Canis lupus familiaris: one gene and its partners. The protein of the gene in region 2 interacts with the protein of the main gene of each other region in a pairwise test. Links are inferred from orthologs where the notes say so. Each region holds a gene or a part of one and is shown on either strand. Other genes may lie near its edges.

What was found.
Region 1: the proteins of G-patch domain and KOW motifs-containing protein-like (region 2) and TCEA2 interact in binary tests that used the Homo sapiens proteins (3 or more experiments, as listed by UniProt). The two-hybrid records come from large-scale screens. The link is inferred for Canis lupus familiaris from reciprocal best matches to the Homo sapiens genes GPKOW and TCEA2.
Region 3: the proteins of G-patch domain and KOW motifs-containing protein-like (region 2) and SH3GL1 interact in binary tests that used the Homo sapiens proteins (3 or more experiments, as listed by UniProt). The two-hybrid records come from large-scale screens. The link is inferred for Canis lupus familiaris from reciprocal best matches to the Homo sapiens genes GPKOW and SH3GL1.

What each region holds. Positions count from the first base shown.
Region 1 is NC_049245.1:48,357,681-48,360,013, reverse strand, and holds the end of TCEA2 (transcription elongation factor A protein 2), read right to left. Parts: coding exon 2,319-2,333; intron 1,924-2,318; coding exon 1,769-1,923; intron 1,699-1,768; coding exon 1,552-1,698; intron 1,059-1,551; coding exon 987-1,058; intron 868-986; coding exon 859-867; 3' UTR 628-858; downstream 1-627. UniProt on the Homo sapiens protein: Necessary for efficient RNA polymerase II transcription elongation past template-encoded arresting sites.
Region 2 is NC_049260.1:42,469,157-42,473,383, forward strand, and holds the start of G-patch domain and KOW motifs-containing protein-like, read right to left. Parts: upstream 2,847-4,227; 5' UTR 2,733-2,846; intron 1-2,732. UniProt on the Homo sapiens protein: RNA-binding protein involved in pre-mRNA splicing. As a component of the minor spliceosome, involved in the splicing of U12-type introns in pre-mRNAs.
Region 3 is NC_049241.1:55,677,395-55,681,821, reverse strand, and holds the start of SH3GL1 (endophilin-A2), read right to left. Parts: upstream 2,943-4,427; 5' UTR 2,785-2,942; coding exon 2,740-2,784; intron 1-2,739. UniProt on the Homo sapiens protein: Implicated in endocytosis. May recruit other proteins to membranes with high curvature.

The DNA of each region.
Region 1 (2,333 bases), on a different chromosome or scaffold from region 2:
TTTTCATATTTATCTCCATTCCTTCTTCATCCAAAATAGGATCTTATTATTGAAGATATTTTTAAAGCAAACGTCTCTCCTTTCTTTCCACATTTGGGGGGAGACTCAAGAAAGAACAACCGTCCCAGATCCAGGAGCAGCCCCAGAAGGGGCTTGGCCCCCGTGAGGACGCATGGGGGCGTCCTCCTGGCCTCCTCGAGGCTCGTGCTTGCCACCCATTACCTGAATTTCTGGGAGGTGAAGCAACTCAAAGCTGCAGCGGGTGCGGGGCCCACCCCACCCAGTCCACCGTCAGGCACAGAGTCAGGGTGGGGACAGGTCGCCATGGATGGCTGGGGGACCCCTGAGCTACAGGGCCTGGGGAGGTCGTGAGCCCTGGGGTCCCGTGTGCTGAAGGCCACCTCCCCGACCCCGTGTCTGTGCGTGCCCCTGCGTGCGGCCAGGCTGCCCCCGGGGTTCTGGAATCCCAGGGCCCCTCTCAGGGCCAGTGGGCTCTTCCCTCCATCTCTGTTCCATCAGGGCCAAGCCCAAGTGTCACCTGATCCCCAGGAGGAGAGTGGTCCCAGGGAAGGGGGCAGGGCCGGACGTGGGGCTTGGGGGACCCAGCTCACAGCCCAGGACTGCTGGTCCACCAGAGCCAAGGGCCAGGACAGCACGATGGCAAAAAGAAACATTTAATAATTTGGGGAAAAGAAAAGAGGTATACGCCAGGCGGGGGTGCCGGGGGCACAGCCCCGTGGGGTGCTCGGGTGGGCTCAGGGCGGGTCTCGAGAAGCTGTGTCTGTCGACAGGACGCGGGGAAGGCCGCGGCAATGTGCTGGCCACAGCCCGAAGCTTCGCACACATCTCGAGCAGGGCTCAGCAGAACTGCAGCAGACGGATGAGAGGCGTCAACCCAAGACCCCTGGGACCCCCGCGGGCCCGGAGGCAGGGCTGCCCCCCGTTTCACATCACGAAGACCCCACAGGCTGGAGACGCCCACCTACCTTCCAGCGATTTCCACACTCGTTGCAGACAACGAAGGTGGTCATGGGCTCATCAGAGCTTCGGGTCTGCACCTGCGGGGAGGGCTGCGGTGAGGGGGGGCCACCCGGGCCCCAGGGGCTCAGTCACTTGGAGCAGGTCTTCCCGAGAGTCACAGTGTGAGGAGACCATCCGTATCCTCGGGCAACGCTGGCATTGTAGCCCCTCGACCCCCCGGGGGACCCCACACCTCCTCTCCTCACCGGGGACCCCTGGCACATCTCGAGGTCCACATCCGTGTCCACATCCACGGGTCTGAGCACAGTCTTGAGGCCACTGCAGGCAGCACACTGCCCCCACCCTCCTGCTTGGGCCCTCCATGCTGGGTGAGGCCGGCCCCCCCCTTATAGCTCCCAAAGCAAAGCACCACCTGAGACACTGCTTCCTGGGGCCCAGGGCTGCGGGGCAAGGGAGGAGGAGCCCGGGCACCACTCACTAGGCACGTGTGCAGGTGCAGGTGTGGACCCCGCCCCACAGCACCGCGCGCAGGTGCAGGCTCCGGGTGCGTGAGGTCGCTGGGGCGCCCACCTGTGTGTAGGTACAGTTCTTCCTCCTGCACCTCCCGCAGGTGAACAGGTCTGTCTGGGTGCCCCCCGTGCGGGCCATCTGGTGCTCTCGGATGGCTTCCTTGGTCATCGCCTTCCGGATCTCCTTCAGCTCATCGCTGGCCATCTCCTGGGCGAGGAGCAGTGTCCTTACCCGCTGCCCACAGCGGTGGCCCCCACGCCCCTGCAGCAGGACTCACCTCCGACGTCATCACCGCGATCTGCTGGGGGGTTATGACCCCACACAGCACGTTCCGCCGCAGGTCAGGGTTCTTAGCGTCCTTGAGGTTGGAGATGCGGCTCCGCACACGGTTTTTGTACTTCATGTCCGTGTTCCCCACGTCCCGGAAGATGCGTGCAGGTGTTTAAGGACCTATCCGGAGGCCAATACTGCTGCCTTCCACTCACCCCGGGGCCAGCGCAGGAGGCCAGCGAGGGCCTCCTGGTGGGAGCCTGGCAGCTCAGTGTGCCCCCCACACCTGGCAGCGAGTGGAGGGGCTGCAGAGGGAGGGCCCCACCCGACCCAACCCTGGCCGAGGCCCAGCCCCAGGCTCAGAGCCCTGGTGACCCAGGCCCCCCCGACGGGCAGCATCAGTCCAGAGAGGGCCCTCCTGGTCAAGGGGGGAGCCCACCCAACTGACCCACTGCCTGGCAAGGGCACTGGGGTTGTGGCCATCAGGGGAAGCCGGGCCTGGCTGGCCTCAGACTCCCCCAGAAACCCCCAGACCCCACACCCTGCATAAAGGATATATTCCTCAATCTGGG
Region 2 (4,227 bases):
CTTGCCCCAGTTTACCTCTCTATTTAGGCTGACATTCCTGGGAGTCAGAGGTGGGATCCAAAGGAGATGACCTCCAAAGAATGATGATTCAGGGAATCAAGGGAGGTACCCGCATGGAGCCTCTTGCACTCATCACTTTCACAAGTCGCGGTCTATTTCCAGTTTGATGAGTCTCTTCTAGGATTCTGAACTCCTTCCCTTTGATTGAGTTTTCCAACTTTATTCAGGATCTGTATAAAGACAATCTTTTTTTGTTGAGTACTTGTTTCCCTTAGTACTAGTATGTTTGGTGAGTATTCCTTTGTTTTATTATTGGAAGCACATCAGAATTTTGGTATAATTCCTTTGGAATTATTAGGAGTGTTAAAAAGAAAGCCACAGGCTCTAGGTGGAGTCACTTGCCCTCAGGGCAATAAACCAAGAATTAATTGTAATTTCAACCTTTTCAGGAATGGAATTTTAAACCAATTAATCTGGAATTTTCTGGCCTGCACCAAAGAGGTAATCTTCACCTGGGGCCCTCTCATTCCCCAAAGGAAGATCAGGTAATCTGGATGATAAGAACTCCCTTGCCCCACCTTTCCATAAGCAGAAGCGACCTTGCCTGAAATAGTACTTCCTTTTCTTTTGCTAATGATTTCTTGCCCTATCTTCCTTCCTATAAAAACCTTCCACTTTAGGGTGCCCGGGTTGCTCAGTCGCTTAAGTGTTAGACTCTCAATTTGGCTCAGGTCATGATCTCAGGGTCCTCCATGCTCAGCGAGCAGTCTGCTTCTTTCCTTTTCTGCCAACCCCTCCCTCTGTCCTGTGCACTCTCCCTAAAATGAAAAAATCTTTCAAAAAAAAAGACCTTCTATTTTGTTTACCTCATCTCAGACCTCTCTACTTCTTAGATGGGATGCTCACCAGTTCATGAGTTGCTTAATAAAACCAATTAGGGACACCTGGGTGGCTCAGTGTCCGCCTTTGGCTCAGATCAGATCCTGGGGTCCTGGGATCCAGTCCCAGTTCGGGCTCCCCGCAGGGAGCCTGCTTCTCCCTCTATGTCTCTGCGTCTCTCATGAATAAATAAAACCTTTTAAAATAAATAAGAAATCTTCACATTTACTCAGTTGATTTTTCCCTCCTTAGTGGGTATTAGAATTTTAAAAAAGTTTTGGCAAGGTTACAGGATAGAAGATCGATATGCAAAAATCCATTGTGTTTCTATAGACAAAATAAAGATGAAATTAAGAAAATAATTCCATTTACAGTAGCCTCAAAATAAGATACCCAGGAATATATTTAAAAGAAGAACTGTAGAAATTGTGTTGCGAAAACTACAAAATATTGTTGAAAAAAATTTTTAAAGACCTAAGTAGGGACTCCTGGGTGGCGCAGTGTTTGAGCATCTGCCTTTGGCTTAGGTCAGGTCATGATCCCAGGGTCCTGGGACCAAGTCCCCACATTGGCTCTCCACGGGGAGCCTGCTTCTCTCTCTGCCTGTGTCTCTGCCTCTCTGTGTCTTTCATGAGTGAATAAATAAAATCTTAAAAAAGACATAAGTAAATGAAGAGACATACAATATTGACTCAGGGCCAGTGTGAGATTCTCAACCTGGCCCTGTTGATTACACTCCTCCAGCTCCCATCCTCCTCTGCCACCCTTTCCCCCAATCTGTGCCCCCAAAATTCACTAAGGAAGTCTCCAGCGCCATTCAAGCTCACCAGAAGTATCCACAGGTTTTTCACATTTTTCTGTATTTGTCACACTAGGAAGTCTGTGAGAGGCAAAGAGAGACAAGAGGGTCTTGGGACAAGCGACTAAGACATAATTGTCCTTACAATTACAGCATGCTAAAGGCTAGTTAGTGTAAGGAAGAGGCTAAGAAAGCTGTCGGTGACTTACCTTTTTTTAAAAAAAATATTTTATTAATCCATTTGAGAGAGAATAAGCAGGAGGAAGAGAAGCACAGTACCTGCTGAGCAGGGAGCCCTGCAGGGGAGCTGGATCCCAAGAAAGAGATAATGACCTGAGGTGAAGGCAGACGCCCAACATCTAAGTCACCCAGGCGCCTCCACTGTTTTAAAAAATTTTATTTGAGAGATAACAGAGACCAAAAACGGGGAGAGAGGGAGAAGGCTCCCCGCAGAGCAGGGAGGCCCACGCGGGTCTTGATCTCAGGACCCTAGGATCATGCATGAGCTGAGTTAACGGACTAAGCCAGTCAGGGGCCCCTGACTTTGCTAACATTGGCACAAGCCCCTAAATTTACATTCTAGCCTCAGCTCTTCCAACTCACGTCCAGACTCGACCACAATTTCAGTACCTAGGCAGTGCGCAATTCTCCAGCTGTCACACAACTACCCAGAACCCGCCATCTTAACGAATCCTGGGCCCGGCTATTGAAGGCACCTCCAGACACTCCTACAGTCCTCTAATAACACGAAGATCCCGCTCCTCATCTTACACCCTTAGGTCGTCCCCGGACGACGGCGCAAGGCCAGATTGGGCTCCTGAATTTCCCAGGCTCCGCCCTCTAGTTAGCCTATAAACTTCAACCCATTCCTGACGCTTCGAATCCCGCCCCCTCGCGTTTATAGACTCCACCCCCCTCTAGGGTGGACTCCTTTCCAGGCACGGCCCTCAGCCGACTGCCCGCCCCCAACACCCTGCAGGCCCCACCTCTTCAGAAATGCCATTCGAAGCCCCACTGACAGGGATAACCATCCAGCCTCGCACCCACGACTAACCATGCAACATTCGCCTACCGCAATAACCTTCCCTGGGTCACCTCCGGGAGAAATATTCTAGGATGACGCCAAGGCTCCGCCCCCGCGAAGCTGCCTCCGAGTCCCGCCCCGCCGCCAGCCCCGCCCACTGGCACCGCCCAGGGGAGTAACTAACCAACCCGGGCCTGCCACTTCAGGAGCTGGCTCCACTCAGACCCCGCCCCCCGGAGGCCCCGCCCCGCCCCTGACACGCACCCGCCTTCGGGCGCAGGCGCAATGTGGCACCTGTCCTGCGTACCAGCGCCGCCACGTCGGCCGCAGCCCGGGCCGCCAGGGGGCGCGCGTCCAGCCGCGCCAGGAGCTGCCGGGCTCTGGGGCCCGCGGGCAGGGGAGGGCCGTGGCCTGCGCGGGTGGAAAGAACAAGTCAGTGCCCGCCCGAGCCTCGGCGAACCCCCTACGCTCCACGACGTCCGAAGACCTAGAATGCCCCTAAGATCTTCCGAGCCCCCCGACCATTCCCTCATAGTTCCGGAGGTCGCCCGCTGCCGGTCTCGACTCCCGCGACCCCCGACCGTCATGGGAATGCCCGTAGATCCCCGCCTGCCCCCACGAAATCCCGGGACATAGCTAGCTGATCGAAATATTCCTGGACACTTCCCGACACTCTGGGACTGTCTCTGCAGGGCTCCGACCGCCCCCACATAACCCCAGATTCCAAACTCTTCCCGCACGGTAGCCAGAGGGACCCCGATTCCGCCAGATGTCCTGAAAGAAGACGGCCTGCCCCCGCTGTGGCCCCGGCACCCCCCGATTCCCCTTCCGGATATCCTAGGCGACCTTGATGGCCCACGTAGCTCCAGTTGCCCCTCCATTTATCCCCAGAGCCCCCCCCCCGCCTGACCCCTCCCTCCGCAGTTCGCTACACACCCTGAGTGCCCCGGTGTCCCCAGCGGCCCCGGGCAGACCCCTCTGGCACATCTCCCCGGGATTCCTGAGAGCCAGCCCCCGCGTCTGGGGCACAGCCCCACGGTGCGGGTGCGGGTGCGGGTGCGGGTGCGGGTGCAGGTCCAGGACCCGGAGCCCAACCCGGGTCACCGCTTGGGCGCCAGGGCTGCTTTGTTTACCACCTGTCGCAAGGAAAAGGTGAGGAGCCGACAGGCGGGGCGAGGGGTGGCCACCCAGAATGGACGTCAGGACACAGAGTGTTCCACAGCCCATAGTGAACAGTCACAGGCCAAGTGAAGGTTGGGGGTAAGCTGCCCGAGGCCCGGGCTGCTGTTGGGTTGGCTGTGGGGCCCTGGACAGGTAGGCATCTGAACCCCGAGGCCCTCCAGTTTCTGCCTCCACAAAGTGGTGGTCGGGGGCTCTCTCTCACTGCACCCCATTTTTCCTTCCACTACAGTGAGGAGCACTTGCCCAAGGGCTCCTCTCTCGGGGACCTCTGCCTTTGGGACACCCCCAGTTTTAATACCTAAGCGGGATCTGATTTCTCCCCTCTCATTGGCTGGCGTCCCCT
Region 3 (4,427 bases), on a different chromosome or scaffold from region 2:
TGTTGAGTGGCATCCCTAGCCTCCACCTACTTGATTCTAATAGCAACCCAGGTTGTGACAACCTAAAATCTCTCTAGATATTGCCAATGTCTCCTAGAGAATAGAACTGGCCTTGGTTGACAACCACTATCCTATAGGAAGATATAAATGTCCCCACATTGTGCTCGCTTCGGCAGCACATATACTAAATGTCCCCACATCATTTTGTGTAAAAAGAATAGTATGTTTATCCTTATGGCAGATAAATGAGACCAGTGGCTAAAAGCATACTGCCTGTCCACAAGGTGAGAGTTCAACAGACGTTAACTACTGCCTTATACTTTTCAACAGCCAACCCTACTCTGAGGACAAAAGGATGAAAATGGGTGTACTGAGGATAAGAAAAGAATCACACAAAGAGATGGACACGTTTGGATAAACAACAGAGATGCTGGGGGCCTGTGGAAACTATTGCAGAAGAGAGTGGAGCACAGCCAGCATGATTCTTGAGAGCACAACTCAGCAGAGGATTTATCAAGAGTCCAAAACAGCCGCTCCCAGAGTAGGATGTGGCCATCGCAGCAATTCTTTGAGATGGGCCTCAGAATGGCGAGATCACAAATTGATCAGAACCAGCAGCTTATACTACACAGTGTTTTCCATTCCCTCACAGATTTGAATGCAGGGCACCCCCTACCACTGCCCCCTCAAGAAAAAGCTCTGGTGGCCAGTCTGAGCAGCCTAGCCAGTTCCTCTAGCAGAGTGTGCCTGCTTGGGACAGTATGGCCCTCCAGCATGGGCCTTGAGAGCTAGGGGTTGGGAGGAGGGGGCTTCTCCTGCAGGAGGGACTACATCAAGGTCCAAGACAGCAAGCACCATCCCCAGTTGCTCTGGTCAAGCCCTGGTGGTCTGATGCCTGTTGGGCAGGGTCCAACCCAGGGCCAGGTCACTTAATTCTACCCTGCTGGGACAAAGGGCTGTACTCTCAGCAATAATGCCAGAACCCCCCCGGATTAAGTGTTTCTTCCTCTAGGGGTTAGCCATCATCTGGGGTTTGCCCTAGATAAACACTAGCGTGGGGTCATGACTTTTTCCATCAAGGGGCAAAAGGTTCCAGCTGAGTTACTGTCGACTTATTTCTCTTCTCTCCTACTGAACTTTTCCAAATTGTGGGAAAAGCCCAGTTTGCCAGCAGGGCCCACACAATCCCTAAGATGGTCGCTCATTCCTTCACGGATTCTATCCACACAAAGTGCCCACCTACGGTTCTTAATCTGGGATGCGGGGATCAAGAGGATTCAAGAAATCTGGGGCTTCGTGGATCTGAAACTATAAACTGAATCTCCCACTTGCTCCAGCTTTCTGGAGAGTGGATCCACAGCTTTCACCAGATTCTTGAGCAATGGGGCCGGGACATTCCAAAAAAACAAAACAAAAAACAACAAAAAACCACCCTATACTTACTTGTCACGTCTAAAAACATACATACTCTCGGATTCAGCATTCTCCTTCTGGGAATTTATCCTATAAACCCAATCCCACCTCTGAGCAAAGATATTCACTGGCTATTCATTGTGTGTAGCACAAACTGACAGGAAACGATCCACACATACATCAACAGATGACTGGTCAAAATTTAACCAATCCCCCAAAGATGACTGGAATATCAACACCCATTAAGAAGATCAAAGAGAGGGGATGGGGGGATCAGCGGTTTGGCGAGCCTTCAGCTCAGGGTGTGATTGCGAGTCCTGGGATCAAGTCCCACATCGGGCTCCCCGCATGGAGCCTGCTTCTCCCTCTGCCTGTGTCTCTCTCTCTCTCTGTGTGTGTCTCTCATGAATAAATAAATAAAATCTTAAAAAAGAAAAGAAGATCAAAGAGACTCTAGGGGTATGCTCCAGGGCAGTGGCTCTGGGGTGGGGGCAGAAGGGGACGTTTGGTAGCAGGGGGAGGTATGTGTGGTGTCAGGATTGGGGGGGGGGGGTGCTCCTGGCATCAAGCGGGTGGGGCCAGGGATGCCCCTCATCGCCCCCACAGTGCCCAGGACAGCGCGGTCTGAGGCGGAGAATTCCAGCTCTAGCATTATCTCCGAACACATGGAACGGAAAACCGAAAAAGCCGAAGTACAAAGGGCTACACAGGCCACGGTACCACCGTGTGCGTGTGCGTGTGCGTTTTTCTAGGAAAGGTGTAACCGATCTTCGGAAAAGATGCCGGTCCTTGCCCCTGGGGAGAGGGGCTGGATGCCCCGGGGGACTGGAGGCGGAAGCGGGGCTTTCCCCTCCACCCTTTCCCAACTTTGTAGCGGGTCCATCAAAAGGGGTTTTCGTTTGTTTGTTTTGGAGAACGACTGCGGACGCCAAGTTTCCCTGCCCCCGGGCTCTCTGGCAGGAGTCCTGTGTCGACAGCCTCAGGGCAGTGTCTTCCTCGCCCGCTCCGGGCCCGTCTCCGCGAGGGAAGGCGACGGCGTCCGGGTCCGCGTCCCGGGTCCGCGTCCCGGGGCGCCGCCGCCCCTCCCCGGGGTCTGCCCACCCTCCCGGGGAGACCCGAGCCCACATGGCGGGCGGGCCCGTGAGCCGCCTCGTCGGCAGCCCCCGTCCCTCGCGGGTGGGAGACCCCCTCAGCGGACGCCGCGCGCCAACGCCGCGCCTCCGGAGCCGGCGGCCCCCTCACGAGCCCCGTCGGGCCTGGCCGGGTCCCCGACTCCGCACAGCCTGGGGGCGCGGCGCCAGCTCCCCCGCCTCGGCCGCCGCTCACCTGGCTCGCCTTGTAGAACTGCTTCTTCAGCCCCGCCACCGACATGCTGCCTCCCGCCGTAGGGGCTCCCGCCCGGACCCAGCGAACCGGAGGGACCGCGCAAGCGACAGGCTCCCGGGCGCCGCCGATACCCCGCGCGCCTCAGCGGGCCCCGTCGGCGCTGCCTCCACCGCGCTCTCGCCAGCTCCGCGCCCGCCCCGGCGCCGCCTCAGGCCCCTCGCGCGCCCGCGCGGCCAGGATATTACATGGCAACCGCACACTTCCGGTGCCGGCCTGCGCGCGCCCCCGGCCCCGACCGCGCACGCGCGCCCCCTGCCGGCCGGAGAGCGCACGCGCACGTCTTGCCCTCTCCCCTCCCCCCCCGTTGAGGCCGCCTCCGACAGCGAGCCGACGGGAACGAGCCTAGAGAGACCCTGGAGGCTACAGCGCCTCCTGGCGGCCCGGAGGTAGTCCTAGCGTTTTAGGAAAGGCGCTTAAATCCTGGAGAGGTTGGGAGGCTGGGTCTGTAAATCAGACGTCGTTCGCTAATCTCAGCCGACCCAATTCTCTGTGCATTTAGTCCCTTCCACACGCACCGCCTTCAGCCCTGCCACGTGCTCATCCATTTAGTTGCCCTAGTACGACATCAGGGTGTCCCTTTATTGCTTTTCTATCCCCCTGGCCTCCCTGCCCAGGCCAGACTATCGCACCCAGTCTCCTCGCTGGTATGCCCACCTGCAGGTTCCCCCTCCAATTATCCCCCTTAAAAATACTCAGAGGGACGCCTGAGCGGCTCAGCGGTTGGGCATCTGCATTCGGCTCAGGGCGTGATCCCGGGTGCAGGGATCAAGTCCCATGTCGGGCTCCCCGTGAGAACCCTGCTTCTCCCTCTGTCTGAGTCTCTGCCTCTCTCTGTGTGTTTCTCATGAATAAATGAGTACATTCTTAAAAAAAAAAAAAAAAAAAAAAAAAGGATGCTCTATAACAAAATGTATACCACATTAGTCTACTATCTTCACAATACACTCTCAACTTCGTAGCATGGCCTACAAAGCTTACAGATTTTGGCTCCATCAACTCTTCTGACTTCAGCTCTCTTCCTCTTCTATAACCCATGATCCCTGTTTCCTGTGGGCCTTTGCTAAGGTTGTTCTTTTCTGGCACATTTTCCCCCAATCTCCCCCCCCCCGCCCCCCATCCTTTGTGCATAAAAGAGAAATCTGTTGGGAATGTCACCTCTTTCAGGAAATTCTCTCAGTTTTACACATGTTAATTGATTTTTGTTTTTTATATCAATTGTTATTGAATTAACTGGAAGTTCGATTCTGGAGACCCAGGATCGAATCCCACATCGGGCTCCTGGTGCATGGAGCCTGCTTCTCCCTCTGCCTATGTCTCTGCCTCTCTCTCTCTCTCTCTCTGTGACTATCATAAATAAATAAAAATTTAAAAAAATGTTTAAAAAAAAAATGGGATCCCTGGGTGGCGCAGCGGTTTGGCGCCTGCCTTTGGCCCGGGGCGCGATTCTGGAGACCCAGGATCGAATCCCACGTCGGGCTCCCGGTGCATGGAGCCTGCTTCTCCCTCTGCCTATGTCTCTGCCTCTCTCTCTCTCTCTCTGTGACTATCATAAATAAATAAAAATTTTTAAAAAATGTTTGAATTAACTGGAAGTTAATAATAAGTTGGAATGGATAAATTAATCTGAA